Drosophila melanogaster: one gene and its partner. The protein of the gene in region 1 interacts with the protein of each later gene in a pairwise test. Each region holds a gene or a part of one and is shown on either strand. Other genes may lie near its edges.

Region 1 (3,754 bases):
CCGCTGCCTTTGCACCCATCACGAATGATTTTGAGCCACACTATATCGGAGAGGCGGCCGAGGGAAAGTCCAACTATAACACGGATGTGATCAGCCACGTATTCTACTTGGGCAATCAACAGGTGGTGCACACCACCTTCAAGGTATATAACGCAGTGCTGTACTACAAGTACTTTGAGCACCTGAAGATGAGCGTGCTGGAGTTGGAATTGGACACACCGGAGTACAACCTAATGATCCTGTTGCCCGACTACCACACGGATATTGTTGCAGCCGCCGCCTCCTTGAAACTGGGACCAACCCTTCGACTGATGCGGAAGCAGTTGAAGCCACGCTGGGTGCAAGCCATCATTCCAGATTTCAAGCTGCACGGCACCATGTTTTTGACAAACGACTTGCAGAATGTATGTATTCATTTGTAGAGTGCATTTTTGTGTTTTTATTGAGGTGTCTTTGGTTTTTGTGCTCTCTGTTGCAGATGGGAATGTAAGCATGGGTGTAATAGCTCCAGTTCCTGGCTTCATTTTACTTTCGTTGCAGCTGCGACGTATTCGAACCAAATCGCGCCGATTTCAGGCCCATGACTGAGGAGAAGGGCGTCTACGTGCGACACATTGAGCAATCCATAGACGTCACCATCCGTACGCATCCCATCAATCAGCTGAAGCGTAAGTGTCTCGCATTGCAGCACACCTGAATGGAATGGAGTGGAGGCATTGAGCCGCAACGCATTGCGAATGCCCAACCTAATGGTGTTGCAACAGTTGCAGCCTCTGCAACACGAGACAAAGTGCAATAAACACTTCCTTTTACTCTCTAGGCAACTACGGCGCCCAATCGAAGCCCATTCAGATCTCTGTGAATCATCCGTTTCTGTTTTTCATCGTCGATCGCGACTTGGACGTGGCTGTGATGTCGGGCCGCATACTGAATCCGCTGAACGTACGCATCCAATGAAGCACGACGAAGGTCGACTATCGAAAGTGATGAACCCTTTGTTCCCGGTGCCTACTAATACGAGATGTTAGCATTGCTTAGATTAAAATGTAAATATACGGGGGTGTCACGAGACTCTGGGCAGATGAAATTTGAATGGAAGTAAAGAAACTTCATACTTAAAATTATCATTAAATTAAACAACATTTGTTGAATATTTTATCTATATAATATTTTTAGAAAACACATCTCGTGACAACCCATTTAATGTAAGCTCACCCCATTAAAGTATAATCCTTAGTCTAACTAGTTCTGTGGGAAATCGGTTTTAGTACTGATACGTTCCAAACACTGTACAGACGCAAAAGAGACTGGTGTTGCTGAAGACCTCGGAGACGGAAGTGTCGCAGTCGCAATCCCAGCAGCAGCGCGAGTTGTAAGTGGCCCCCGCACCCAGCTCCTGGCCTAGCATCACCTGGACCACGTGCTTGTACCGCTTCACCAGGGAGCTGCTGGCTATCTGCTGGTTCACCTCGTCGGCGATCTCACTGGTCCACTTCTTGGCGACGTCCTTGTCATAGGTTTTGTCTTCAAATAGTGAAGTTGCTAGGCAACGCGCAGTATATTTATGGATTTTCACACTAACCTTTGAGTTTCTCGGCCATAACGTTGTTCATTATGCTCTTGATGGTGGGCAGGGGAAACATCTCCCCAAAGGCCGGTCGCATGCTATAGGCGGTGGGCTGGTCGCCGGGCTTTTCCGACTTTTCTTGATTTTCCAAACCATCGGCTGAGCCGGAGTGCAGACTTCCTGACGCCGACTTTTCCGACTTCCTATCCGCTGGGTTGGGCACTGTTAAAGTCTGGACGGATTTGGTTGTTTCCTCAGTGGACTGTTTGTCAGCCATCTTTTGTCAAATTCAGCGTAATTCCCTTTCAAAGTGTTTAAGAAAGCACCAAGAAAATCTTGGTTGCTATGTTTGTTTACTTATTGCTAGTGTTACCAGATGGTAAAATGGCTTTCCCGCCAATCCCTAATTGTCAGTCACCACGAATAACCGAACTTATTTGGTGTGGCCACTTTATAACAACGAAGTGTGGCACCTCTTTCATTTTCTGGATAATTTAAATTTATAATACGCGCCAATATTTTATGTGCGTCAAGTTAGCGTCGATGGCGGAATTTCCCCATTAAAGAACATTTCTTTAAGGACATTTAAGGAAAACTTCACGATAAAGTAGAACTATAAAATCGTCCTTAGGTTTCATAAAATCTTTATTCAATTCAAAATAAATCGAAAAGTTACATAATAAATTCGATAAATATGTTTTTATATATGCAGGTTATAAATAAAGTTACGCAATAATTTAAATGATTTCGTTAGTATACAGTTAATGGTTGCTTTCTCGCTTACATCGCTATGTGTAGGCTCTCGCATTTAGAAAATATTTGTGTGCATCTCTTTGTGTTCACTTTGATTTCGATTGGGGGCAAATGACATAATACATACATGGGTGTGCTGATCGGGAGGATGTGCGGAAGGTGCTTTGTCAAATAAATAATAATACACTCAAACGGTTTACATAGAAATCGACAAACAATCGCTAAGTGAAAATAACCTAAGAAAACTCAAATACACCATTTACATTTGCTCAAAATCACATACCCTTTGCACACGCTCACTACATTACATTAAATAAAAACACAACATATTGCATAGGACATACAAAAATCAGACAGATTTCAGTGGCAACGACTAACAAAACGTACAATTAGGTCGAATACGAAACTAAAGGTATTCGCAAAAACATTCGTAATCCCTACTTTTAAATTGCGAAATTAGTTTTTTGGTTTTGATTTCATCTCTGCCTGTTTTTACATTAACCTTGCGCGCTTCTCCCATATTAGTTAGGCTCTCTACTTATATAAATATTGAAATTGTTCTTAGCCAGCTTATCCACTTTGAATAGTTAGTTGCTCGTTTCGGTTACAGCTCACGGGTTTTAGTATTGTTAATTCTGTATATTCAGCTGCCTTTTTGGTACGCTCTCCCCTGTTCCCTTGTTTCATCTTAAGTATTTAGGCTCAACAGTCCATGCACCACTTCGCAGACCAGCAATCTCCAGGGAAAGTTGGCTATTCAAATCTGAAACAAGTGGTGTTGTCAATTTCAAATTTAAACATATAGGTCCTATTTACTCACGATCGATTCTTCGTGGTCATGCGGTTGTCCCGTCAGCTTAATGCCCGTTGCCTCGGCGGACGTGGATGCTGATCCCGCTGCCGTGAGGTCGAGCTGGGAGGCTGTGGGTCGTAGGGCGGCTCGCTTGGCGACAATTTCCAGCATCTCGTTGAGAATTGCTCCCTCGGCGGCCACATCGGCAGAGCTTTTGTCCAGTTCTGCAATGATGGAATTAAATATTATATCAAAGTTTTGAGAGGAAACTATAACACTCACTGTTGCAGGACAAGCGCAGATTGAGCTCTTCCTTCAGCTGGGCATGCCGATACTCCAGTTGCAGTTCCTGTTGCCTTATAGTCAGTTCCTCATCGCGTTTCCTAAAAACAAAATTACATTAGATTTGTTTATTATAGAGCTTCATTGATTAGCATACTTGAGTGCTGTGATGTTGCGCCAAATCTCCAAAAGTTCCTTAAGTAGCTTCTCGTCGTTGTCCTTTGTCGCATCCAGGCTGTAGAAGAGATTTCATTTAATGGGTATTCAAGGATATAGCCAGATCCTAGCACTCACTTTTCAATATTCTGCGCCTCGCCTCGCAAGGCCTTCTCAATAAGCACGCCGCGTGCCTCCAGATC
Region 2 (3,754 bases), on another chromosome or scaffold:
CCCGTCCGCGCCAGCAGGCCTTTCAGCTGCAGCACTGTGAAGGGGCGTACCAAATTGGTGATATAGAGCACGTGGCTGGCGCGGTTTCGAGCAGGACTAGGGTCACGGACTATGTGTGGTGCTGCCGTGGAAACTGTGGCTTTGCTCAGGCTGACCTGGGCTGAAACCGTGTCTGCTGCTGCTGGAGGAGCGGCTCCTGCTCCTTCATTATCTGCCGACGCCTCTGCGGTGGTGTCGCAGGTGTTGGCGGTATTGCCCTTGTTATCGCGGTCTTTGCTTGCTTCAGATGGGGGCGCCGGTGAAGCAGATCGCTCTGAATCGCGATCGCTGGTGACCAGGCCTTCCTCCTCTGAGGACGATTCCAGTTGCACATCGCTTAGGGGCACTGGCTGCACCACATCGGCTATAATGTTCTTCAGGGAATCCGTCGAAATGGCAAGCACGGGCGGGGTACGATCCGAAGACTTTTTGTTAGTCAGCCACTTTCGCTTCCGCACCGACCGTTGTTGCTGCAGAACTGGAGCACCGGTTGTGTTGGTTGCGCTGCTGTTTAGACATGGATCGTGCTTGTCGTTCGAAAGATCTGCTGGTTCATCGTGAATTTGTTCTGGGTTTTCGTCTATCTGCTTGTGGTTTTCCTTGTGTTCCTCCTCCTCTGCGGGTTGCTGTTCCTTTATCTGCTCCTTGTGCCTCTTCTTGGTTTCTCTGCGCTCCGCAGGAGCGGAGGCTTCTTCGTCCCTTTCATCGACCTCTTCTGTCTGAATGTCTAATACATCACTAGTCGTTTTTAGATGTTCCTCATCCTTGCTGGAAGGAGAAGGAACCTTTACCTCTTGTTCTGGCTCGCTCTGCTTGGTGTCATCATCAGTGGAAGTGGGGACCTCCTGCTGCGGTTTTAAGTCCTCTTTCTCAACATCATCATCCTTGACTACAGCGGGTTCAGCACAGGATTCATCGTCTTGAGCCTGCTGATCCTCCGTCTTGGCACGGTCCTCGGACTCGCTCTCATTAGCCGCGGGTGGCGCTACAGTCTTTTCCTCCTCGACAGCGTCCTTTTCAACATCCTTTCCATTCTCCGGCTCCTCCTCGGGTATGGTGTCCACCTTCTTGTCGCCGCCCTTGGACTCCGTGCGCTTTCTAGGCGTCGTCCGGCTGCCGCGACTCCTGCGCACTGGCGATGCTCCAGATCCGGCACGTTCTTCACTGGATGCCCGCGCCTCATTGATTTCTTGAGAGGCTGGCGGTACTTTGGGGCATTCGGCCTCATTATTTTGGGCCACGACCGGAGTCTCGACCTCGGTCTTCTCGTTCTCCGACACCTTGCGGGAGCGGCGACTTCTCCGTGCAACTGCCACCGGCACCGGAGCGGGCGACGACGACTTTTTTCGCTCGCTGCGACGTCTCATGGCTGTCCGAAAATCGCTGGAAACTCGCTGCGACGCTGGAAAGATCTGAAATAAAACGTAGGTACAGCCGGCGGACCCACAGCTATTTCATGCACTGCTTTGCGAATTCACTCCTCGTTATATTCTGCACCTTTTCTTGATAAGAAAAATAATTTTACTAGGCGAAAGAGCGTCAATCCGCCATCAATATACAGGGATGCTTTCTCTCGGTCTATCGCCCCGCTGACGGCTATCGATAGTATCGTATGCGATGGGGGAAGGAAGTACCTTATTACGAAAAACTTTATCAAATGTACTTAAATGTTTTTTATTCGAGATTGTTAATAACTCTACTTATCAATTTATTTTTGTTCGCAGATTTAACTTATGAACGAAATGTTAGGTACCAAAGTTGCCGATAAAGTTTTGTTTGACAGTGTCATCTCTAAAAAATTTAAAAACCTTTGTTTACGAAATCTTAACGAAACATAAATATATTTGCGAAAGTATGATAGAGTAGAAATTATTTAAAAGTCTTCTATGTTCTTAATCAAGCGTTACGAAATGTACTTTTAAAACGTCTTTACCGCGCTTTGCAACACTACATACGTGCTATTTCATAATTTTTAATACCATACCTGCAACATTATAGGTTTTAGTTAAATAATTAATAAAGCCCTAAACATGTTAGTGAGAAATATTTGCAAGTTTACGCAAGTTATGGGCAGGTTCCGCGTTGTCGTGAATCCCAGAGATTACTGTCATCTTGCGCCGCTGAAGAGAAGCCGTTATCACCAACGGTCAGAATTCGGATGTCGACCGCTGTGCTCCAATGCTGCGGGCTACGAGGTGTCCTGGGCAGCTCCGCCCGCTTCTGGCTCTTCCGGTGGAATGTTTTGGGCATTTTCCGCTGCTTTCACTCTGAATCTGTTTGGTGGCGCCGACGAAAAAGAGGAAACTCCGGAGGAAAAACTGATCAAGACCATCAAACGATCAATCCTGTGCATTCAGAGGGAACAGTACGACAAGGCCGAGCAAATGCTTCACCTGGCTCTGCGAATGGCGCAGGATATTCAGAGCAAGGACGGCATCACATATGTGTTTGATCTGATGGCCAATTTGGCCATGGAACGCGAGCAGTTTAAGAAGGCGGAGAAGATATTCACGGACGTTATGAAACGGCTTTTTGCCGAGGGTCACACCGAAGAGAGTCCCAAGGTGGGTGACCCACTTAGACACCATAACCAGTTAAGATCTCTTTCATCTTTAGATACTTCACATCAGCTCCAAGATAGCACACATGTCTCAGCTGCAAGGGGATCTGGAAAAGAGCTTTCAAGGGTTCACTTGGACCTTGCAGCAGTTGGCTAAGCTACTGGAGAAAATGCCCGACGACAAGGACATACTGGAGCTGTATGGCTTGACAAAGAATTGGTATTGAAGGTGTTTCCATTGCCGCTAACCAAGCCTTTTTTCAATACTTTTCCTTATGTTTATTTTCCAGGTTCGGGCAGCTGCTGATGAAGCAGGGAAAATACCTGGAGGCTAAAAACCTCTTTAAGGAGGCCTTCGACACGCTCATAAATGTTTATGGTGCCGTTAACGACGCCTCTGTAACCATCCTAAATAACATCAGTGTGGCGTACGTAAACGTAGGTGCGTCTATTCTTCCAAAGTACTTGAAACACATTAGACTAATTACAGCTGGAAAAGTACGCCGAGGCAAGGGAGACCCTTTTGGAGGCCATGGAGCTGACTAAGGAGCTAAAGGATGCCACCCAGGAAGGCATTCTGCAGGCAAATCTGGGTTTGGTGTATCTTCGCGAGGGCCTGATGTCGCAGGCGGAGAACGCTTGCCGACTGGCGTGGAAACTGGGAAAGCAACACCAGAATCCCGATGCCGTAGAGCAGGCCGAGTATTGTCTCAACGAGATAAAGACAACCCTGAATGGAGAGAAGCGCCAGTGAGGATTCTTTTTACAGTGTAATTTTGACTATTTATAAAAATTTCATTTCGAAGTGAAGCACAAATTTGGAAGGCTTAAAAAATCTTAAATAACGCCGCATTGTTTATATTGGGAACTAATAGCGGTTACTGACTGTTGAAATATAAGAAATTTAAGTAGTTGCTCATCGTTTTGAGTAGGTAACGAACAGAAATCTTTCAAATTGTTTGCGGCACACTTTCAGTACATGCAATTAGATCTTTTTTGTGTTAACTTTCCACAATTTTGATATTACTCGAACTTGGCGATAACGATCATTAGGGCTACGCCGGTTAGCAGCGCAAAGATTTCCTTCAGCGACTGTTTCAGTTTCGTAGACTCCTCAAGCAGCTCCGGCAGGACACTCACTGTTGCGATGTAAAT

Evidence for each region.
Region 2: the proteins of CG5359 (region 1) and Ttc19 interact in a two-hybrid assay, tested with the Drosophila melanogaster proteins (one large-scale study listed by BioGRID).

The regions. Positions count from the first base shown.
Region 1 is NT_033777.3:9,999,358-10,003,111, forward strand, and holds CG5359 (uncharacterized protein), read right to left. Parts: upstream 1,920-3,754; 5' UTR 1,845-1,919; coding exon 1,583-1,844; intron 1,525-1,582; coding exon 1,265-1,524; 3' UTR 1,216-1,264; exon of another isoform or gene 1,149-1,215; intron 1,012-1,148; 3' UTR 958-1,011; coding exon of another isoform or gene 821-957; 3' UTR 669-820; coding exon of another isoform or gene 541-668; 3' UTR 487-540; coding exon of another isoform or gene 479-486; 3' UTR 414-478; downstream 1-413. Other genes in the region: Spn85F (serpin 85F), read left to right, coding at 1-404, 479-486, 541-668, 821-957; Mical (molecule interacting with CasL), read right to left, coding at 3,078-3,083, 3,141-3,337, 3,396-3,496, 3,553-3,630, 3,690-3,754.
Region 2 is NT_033779.5:19,043,219-19,046,972, reverse strand, and holds Ttc19 (tetratricopeptide repeat domain 19), read left to right. Parts: upstream 1-1,824; 5' UTR 1,825-2,069; coding exon 2,070-2,603; intron 2,604-2,655; coding exon 2,656-2,819; intron 2,820-2,889; coding exon 2,890-3,037; intron 3,038-3,089; coding exon 3,090-3,353; 3' UTR 3,354-3,438; downstream 3,439-3,754. Other genes in the region: Acn (acinus), read right to left, coding at 1-1,406; Catsup (catecholamines up), read right to left, coding at 3,623-3,754. UniProt on the Drosophila melanogaster protein: Required for mitochondrial complex III formation.